Danio rerio: one gene and its partner. The protein of the gene in region 1 binds, or shares a complex with, the protein of each later gene. Links are inferred from orthologs where the notes say so. Each region holds a gene or a part of one and is shown on either strand. Other genes may lie near its edges.

The links. The genes of interacting proteins can lie anywhere in the genome.
Region 2: tmem67 (region 1) and tmem216 share a complex: the UniProt entries of both Homo sapiens proteins name them as parts of the tectonic-like complex. The link is inferred for Danio rerio from reciprocal best matches to the Homo sapiens genes TMEM67 and TMEM216.

Annotation. Positions count from the first base shown.
Region 1 is NC_133191.1:30,690,290-30,693,855, forward strand, and holds part of tmem67 (meckelin), read left to right. Parts: intron 1-2; coding exon 3-93; intron 94-258; coding exon 259-358; intron 359-947; coding exon 948-1,017; intron 1,018-1,129; coding exon 1,130-1,201; intron 1,202-1,298; coding exon 1,299-1,361; intron 1,362-1,450; coding exon 1,451-1,605; intron 1,606-2,413; coding exon 2,414-2,522; intron 2,523-2,591; coding exon 2,592-2,678; intron 2,679-3,399; coding exon 3,400-3,465; intron 3,466-3,566. UniProt on the Homo sapiens protein: Required for ciliary structure and function. Part of the tectonic-like complex which is required for tissue-specific ciliogenesis and may regulate ciliary membrane composition.
Region 2 is NC_133189.1:29,311,866-29,316,177, reverse strand, and holds the start of tmem216 (transmembrane protein 216), read left to right. Parts: upstream 1-1,480; 5' UTR 1,481-1,491; coding exon 1,492-1,504; coding exon of another isoform or gene 1,505-1,521; intron 1,522-3,150; coding exon 3,151-3,164; intron 3,165-3,253; coding exon 3,254-3,347; intron 3,348-3,428; coding exon 3,429-3,521; intron 3,522-4,312. UniProt on the Homo sapiens protein: Part of the tectonic-like complex which is required for tissue-specific ciliogenesis and may regulate ciliary membrane composition.

The sequences.
Region 1 (3,566 bases):
AGGTGGTCACCCAGGATGGATATGAATGTATTCGTTGTCCTGGAACTGTGGGGAAGGATGGCAAGTGTCAGTGTCCTGAGGGAAGTGTGCTGGGTAGGCGCTTGTCATTTTTACTAAAACAAAAAATACATGCATTAATTGGACAGACTATATAAAGACTTAGTTATTTTTCCTGAAAGCTATAATTCAAACATGTGCAATTTGGGTAGATGGTTAAGAATTACTTAATATTTGATGGCATCTGATTGTTTTTTGTAGTGGAGAGAGATGGGAATGGCAATCCCTTAATTGAAGCAAGGTGTCAAGCATGTAGTGCAACAGATCCTGCTTTTTCTGCCCCAGATATGAAAGGCAACAGGTAACAATGCTTTTTCTATAACTGACTTTTTATGTTCTTAATGATTTTAAATTAATAGCTCACCTAAAAAAATTGTGATTAAATTGTGAAAATTTGTGTTTTTTTTACTCACCCTCAGACCGAGATGTAGGTGTATTTTTATATGGTTAATAAATTAAATGGAGAAAAAAAAAGGAAAATCTAATTAAAGGGATAGTTCACCCCAAAAAAACATTTACTCACTATTTACTCTTCCTCAATTGGGTCCACACCTTTATTCTCTTGAACACAAAAGAAGGCATTATAAAGAAATGAAAACCTGTACTACGGACTTTCATAATAGGAAAAAATGCATTGGTTCCTGTGGCTCCTCATGATTTAATGATATTGCATGAAGTCTGTAACAATTGGCTTATAATTAATACCCAAATTATAACCATAATTGCATCTGAAAATCTAAAATGTTCTACTGAAGAACAAAAATCACCTAAATCTTGGATGGTTTGGGGGTAAATTAACAGCAAAGTTGTATTTTTGAGAGAACTATAATTTTTAACATTGCATTACATAATTTATTTTGAAATAATTTGGTTGGGATGTTTATATTTAGGTGTGAGAGATGTGGGGACTCATTCATTAACTCATCTCAGTCTTGTGTTTGCGGCACTTCGAATACGCTGGTGAGAATCTCAGATATTTGGTGCATTTGTTGTTTACATTTATGTATATGTTTATACGATGCTGTTAAAAAGACAAGATGAGAAAGGTATGATTTCATCACACTGTTAACAGGCAGGAGGAATGTGCTTCCCTGCGAACAGTCTGCCTACCTCAGTTGCCTCAAGTGTTATTTTTAGCCAACTGGTAAGTGTTCTCTTTAACATCGTAAATAGTTTGTTTGAGTGTTTGAGTAAGCTTGAATCAGTTGTCATAAAGTGTAATGTGTGTTTGTTTTACACAGACTCTCCCTGTCCAGTCAGCATGGTTTTCAAGCTTCATGTATTCTTCGGCCGCTGCATGTTTGGTGCATTTCTTCACACGTCTACTAGTCTATTTTAAATGTTTATCCTTTATGTTTCACCCATTTTAAGCTGTGTTATTGTTCTTCTGTAGTTGTTCTCTAACCGGACTGCATGTCAGTCTCTGGGAAACATGTGTGTTATGAACATGCACTCATCCAGCTCCATCAACAATGATGTCTGTGGTCTCTACAACACAATCTACAGAACAACAGCTGCTCAGGGCAGCAGCCAGGACATCTCCTACTGGTAACATACATGACATGATTACATAATGATTATTGCTATTGATGTGGTGTCTGCTGCGTCTTTTGAAACCACTCGCAAGCCTTGAGGTTTAGATTTCAGAAGGTTTTTTTCACTTTGTCAGAAACAACAAAGCTGCGTCAATCTTCCTGTCTGAGTTAGCATATTTTTATGCAGGTTTTCCTCACATACGTCATTTGTGCCTCCAGACATGTATCCTTTTCACCTAGGAATCATATGTTCAAAATAGCAGTTAAATGCATAACCTGATTATAAAAAACTCGATTATAGTTCCACAGGCCTCGTTTCATACATGGTTCAGATGAGAAAGTAACATGATTATATATTACAGACTCTCCCTCAGGCCCTTCATGGATAGATAAGACATCTGAACAAATTGTAGATTACGCACATGGCAATATTCCTATTGACTATACTTCATCCTAAGAGTAAAATCTTCTTCATTCTGCACTTAAAATGTCCAGATAACTGATAATCTTTGGATTTGATAATCTTTTTTTCTTTCAATCCTATCAACTATTTTAAAAGAGATTTAAACCTGGAGACTGAACTTTAAAAAAACATATTACAGCAATCCTTGATTCTTTAAGGTGATTGTTTGTCTGGATAGTAAAATGATCATTAACCATAGGCATGGCAATTTTTGCCAATGTGGTCTGATTTAAATCCTTGTTGTTCGTACATTTTTCTACTTTCTGCATCCCTATATTCCCTAAATTCTACTTTTGCCCCATTGGTCCATAAAACATGGCAAATTAACCTGCTTTGCTTGACAATGTTGTTATTCTAGGAGGACAAACCTACCTTGGCTGTACTATGGAGATCAACCAGGGATGGCATCACAGGCTCTTCAGAATGAACCCCTTCCTGTTGGATTCAGCTTTAAAGGGGCACAAAAGGTAAACACTGGACATTTAAACGTAAACATCAATGTAGTATTTTTTCACCAATCGTTCTGCTGCTTTCAGAACACCAACATTGAGTTGCGAGCTGCTGTGTACTCAGTGCGTGGAGAGTTTCTGAGATGGGAAAGCGTTGGTAGAGGCAACCTTCAGGTAGGCAAGCAGGACTGGTTTCTCTTCTGGGGTAAAATCCATGAAACATTCTGAACTGCTGTTTTCTTGATAAGATTATTAAATGATATATACATTTACAATGTTTGTTGTTAATTTTAAGGTGAATAATTAATTTGTGCATGTAAATCCACAAAAAACTGGTTGTTTTGGTCGTCTTTAATGAAAGTCTTGATCATTTTTTTTCTGCTTTTGGAGTGACAGTCCAACCTGAGGGCTTCCATAGCAACCGCATATTAATACTCTTTCTTACGATTAGCTTGCTATGAGGTAGTGATATGCAACATGAAAGAAAGTACATCAACATACTGAAATAAGTCTCAGATAGTTCTGATACTTTCCAATATGTTACTTTATACAAGTTTCATGTCTCACCAGAATGTTTCATTGATGTTTTAGCTTAAAATACATAATGTATAAAGAATTAATATCATTTAACATACTAATCTGATAAAAATATCAAAAACCGACATCAAGCTTATTTTTAAGTTTCTATGTGTCTCTTTAAATGCAAATTAGCTGCTGCTCTTTCCAGAAAGTGAAGCATTTTCAACCCATCTCTTGATCCTCTCACAACAAAATGTCTAAATGTCTGTTGCAATATCAAATGTGCTTATGTGACATTGAAGCTCTTCAATCAGAAGAAAGTTTATTATTTGCTTGTGTTTTAAAGTCTTGTCTTTAATTTATGTATCTTCTAAAGCTCTGTCCAGACACCCCTACCAGACAACAGTCTGCCTTCAAATTCGGGACAGCCTACAAGCAGAGTGTAAGTCTCATTTATCTTCTGCCTCAACCAGATGGTATTTAGCTATTTGTTTTGTATGTAAATATGTAAATGTGTATTTAATGGCATTTTTCTTTCCACAG
Region 2 (4,312 bases), on another chromosome or scaffold:
GACAACTTAAACACATATTGATAATTAGTGCTGTATTGTTTGTAGTTTAGGCTGACAGCATACAAATACATTATAACCGATTAATTTACCAGACGATATAACAAATAACAACCTGCAAAAGTTAGACAGTAATATACAAATGAAGCACACAAACAAAAATATCGTATCTATCGGTCTACCTAACTGACAACATAACAAATGGCATTCATTATAAACAGGCTACTAAAGAAGATAACAGAATACACAAACTAGAAAAATATGGATTCAAAATGCTAAAGTTAACAAGTCGTCTATACAGAAATCTCCATTTCCATCCAACATTCAGTACAATCAACAGTCTAACCGAAGAAAGACGTGGAAAAACTAATATACTACTCTGAAACGATATGACAGAAAGAAATACTAAAATATTTAGTGTATTCAACCAAAATCTCGTCGAAACAACAAAATATAACCTAAAATTATACTTTAAGAGAGATCTTTACATACCGCTAATGTCAGCGATGGCCAGACACTTAATGAAGGTCACACTAGTTTCTCAACGTCATTTTTCGAACACATTCTTTTTTAGAACGCCACTGACTATGGTAACCACAGCAACGCCACCGCACCGCCATCTTATGAGTATTTAAATAATAGCAACTGTGATTCTCTGTTTGACTAAATTTCGTATGTTCATATTCTATTTTGCATGCATATAAGTCTTATTTTTCAGGCATATAGTAAATTTATCTGTATCTAACCTGTATGTCTAAAAATAAAATATAGTTCAGTTTAAGCCACCAGAGAGCACTGTAGCTTCGGTCCGTGAACGGAGGAGCTGCTATTTTATCGGATAGAAAATACAATAACGCTTATATTTAATAACTGATTATAATTGTATGGTGTGAAAAAAAACCTCCAGTTACCTAGAAGAAAGCTCAAACGTGTAATGTGTATTTTATGTTATAAAAAGATATGTAAATGTATACCTTTATCAAAATACTCTCTTTTTTTACAGTTTTATAACAGTTAACAAAAACAGTTTATAAAAAGTAAAGAATCACACCTTATTATTATAGTACAAATTCTATACAATAATGTAGAATAAAAAATACATTATATCTGAATAGAGGAATTAATAATAGCGAATATGAAATAGTAGTGTGCTATGTATAATAATCATAACTATGAATAACACTAATACAACATTGCGTATACTATTGGCTAAAAGGAACGTATAAAAGGTTATTTATTTCAGTGGCAGTGACTGTTTTGCTGCTTAGTGTGCATATGAATATACAGATTATTATATTTATATGAACCGTAAGCTGTGACCGTTACCATTTTGTTTTGACCTTGTGGACTATAGGTGGAAAATGTGTGTGCTTACTACAGAATGTGTTCATTTCTCGCACTTGTATGTTTTTGATCACTGACCCGTTTGCTTGATTTGATTGGATGGCCGATGTTTGTCTCCGCCTACAGTATGCGTGTCCATGGCAATCTAACATGGCTGCCCACGGTAAGCAAAACGGAAATGTTTTGGTTTTGATAGTAAGTTTATTGGTTCACCTTAGTTGCGCATATTTAACTTAAATAAGTGGGCGACTTTAATAAACCAGACCCAGACGTTTTTGAAGAAACAAGCGGACTAATAGAGCAGAATGTGCACTTTTGTTTAGGGTGGAAAGTAGGCATCACGTAGCCGATTTTAGCCATTTAAAGCACGCCTGTCTTTTTTCCAACAAATAGATGTTATTTTTTTTATTATATTCTTGCATAATGATTAACTGCCTGTTGATCTTACTTCAATGCTTAATCTGTGTGTGTTACTTAACCGCGTGTTCACTAAATGTGTTCTCGCACTTGTCAGTATTGTTTTGTACAAATTGTGCTTGTGGGGCAGCTATTGTCTTCAACACTTTAAATGCAACCTATTTATTTTCATCTTTAAAAAGTCGTGTTTTTGAAAAAACATAGGTCTAATGAGAATTTTTATAGATAACCATATTACTTTGCTAAAAATATTGATAACCACTATTACTAGTTAATTGGGGCAGAATACCCGATTAATTTCAACACTGTGTCTTAAAATGAGCTGTATGAAAATCTTAAAAAGGCTGTTAGTTATAGTGGTAGGATGTGTTTACTTTGCAAAAAATCTAATAATATAAAACTCTATCCATTTAATTTTGTAATATACTTTAAAAAAAGCACCTGACATTACTGTCTTATTAACACTACCAACGATGCTGCTCAGGTATTCTCTGTAGATACAACCAACACATTTTAATGAAATTTAAATCTTTCCTTTGTTCTTTAGTCATTAATGTTGTTCACAAATGCTTCATGTCATTTTAAAGGGATAGTTCACCCAAAAATCAAAGTTCTGTCGTGAGTTGTCCTGGTTTCAAATCTATATGAGTTTTTTTTCCTGTTAAACAGAAAAGTAGATCAGTTAAAGAAAGGTCGAAACCTGTAACCATTGATTTCTGTAGTTTTTTTTTTCCCCGATGGAAGTCAGTGGTTACAGGTTTTCAGGTCTTTTCATATTTTTATGTTTAACAGAAGAAAAATAAAATCTTGTAAAAGTTTTGAACCACTTAAGAGTAAGTAAATAGTGATTACATTTTTTTGGGGGGGATGAACTATGCCTTTAAAAGTACACTGTCCTGTAACTTTGTACGTTTATTTCATTTTCAGACTCATCTTTATTTTATACTAGAGTTTGTAATGTAAGAAAACTTTTAACAAGTTGGCCTGGATTATGGCTTGAAACATTTTAACAAAGACTTTTGAGGAAGAAAATGAGCCACTGACCCAAAACAGCATTGTATATGCATGCCATGTGCAATATAGGAAGCTGGTTTGTGAACTCTGATAGGCAAACTGACTGTAATATTGAATGAATGCATACAAATTCACAAACCAGCACATTCTCACCTGTGAAAGATTTATGCTATCTATATTTACACTATCTTTGGTTATAAAAATGTCAGTGGCAGTGCCCCCCTTTTCTTCTACAAGTAGAGACTGCACAATATTGTGGCATCTTGAAAAACTGCATTACCCATTCCAAGATGGCAGATGCATAAATGAGACTAAAGGACTTTTACTTTTAGACCTATGTTATTTTCACTAATTCAGTATTTATTTTCACTTTTGCAGGAAGACAACCTGTTGTATCTTTTCAAGCTGTTTTTTTTTCTTATTATTTACTCGTTTGTCTTTGTTTATTCTGTTGATATTGCTTCTTAACAAAGTACCTCAGTTGTCGTCCACACCACTGCAGATCCTGTTTCATTTGAACGGCTGGTATTTTGCTGCATTTTTCGTTGCTGAGATTCTTATGTTCATTTACAAAGGTGATGTATGGCCTCTTGAAATATTCTGAAAATTTGTGATTTTATTTGTCAAGTAATCACTGTTTGCTCTGACATTTGTAGGAGTGATACTCCCTTACCCACAAGATAATCTGATATTGGATGTTGTCCTGCTGCTCCTCTTCTCTGGCCTTGAAACACTCAGACTTTTCTATGGTCAGTGCCTTATAAAGTTGTTTAATCTGCTTTAGTTTGTAGAATCGTTCAGTTAGTGCACTGAAATTATGCTCAGTCAGAACTTCAGAAGACCTTGTGAAGCAGTGTTTGACGATGCTCAAAATTTAGCAATAAATAAAGTGTGCATTAGTCGGGCCTGCTTCTTCAGCAGTGCTAGTTCTAGAAGTGTTTTTTTCTTCCCCATAGGACTTTATAAAAATGTTTTTTGAAAAGTGCTACAGATTTTTGAGCTGATCATTCCGTCAATTAATTAACTTACTCAAACGTGTTTTGTTACAGTTTTTATGTTATCTTCTTTGGGATTATTGAATAATATGTAAATGTCTAGACGATTTGAGATACTATATAAAACTATAAACACAATAACTTGTCTATAGAGAACAGGAATTTGACGTAACTGTGTAATGCATTCTGGGTGTTTAGCACAAGAAAGCCTGATTCCCATTGATCTCTACTGATTTTTTGTATCATATATATACACTCATCGGCAATAAACAGGAAGTGTTTGTACTACAGGTAATGAAGAAAATCATATATGCAGATGTTTTCTTGCTGCAGCTTGGGTAACTTTTAAGATTGTTACTTTTACTTGAGTATAAATTTTGTATACTCTACCCACCTCTGAAAGTAATACTGGTAATAATTTTCAACATCTTTTAGTGGATGCATTATATGAGATGCCTACCGCAGCTTAGTTTTAGGGATAGTAGAATAAATCAATGCACTGTGAATCAAGAAATGATTCTTGGATCGATTCAGAAATTTCCTGA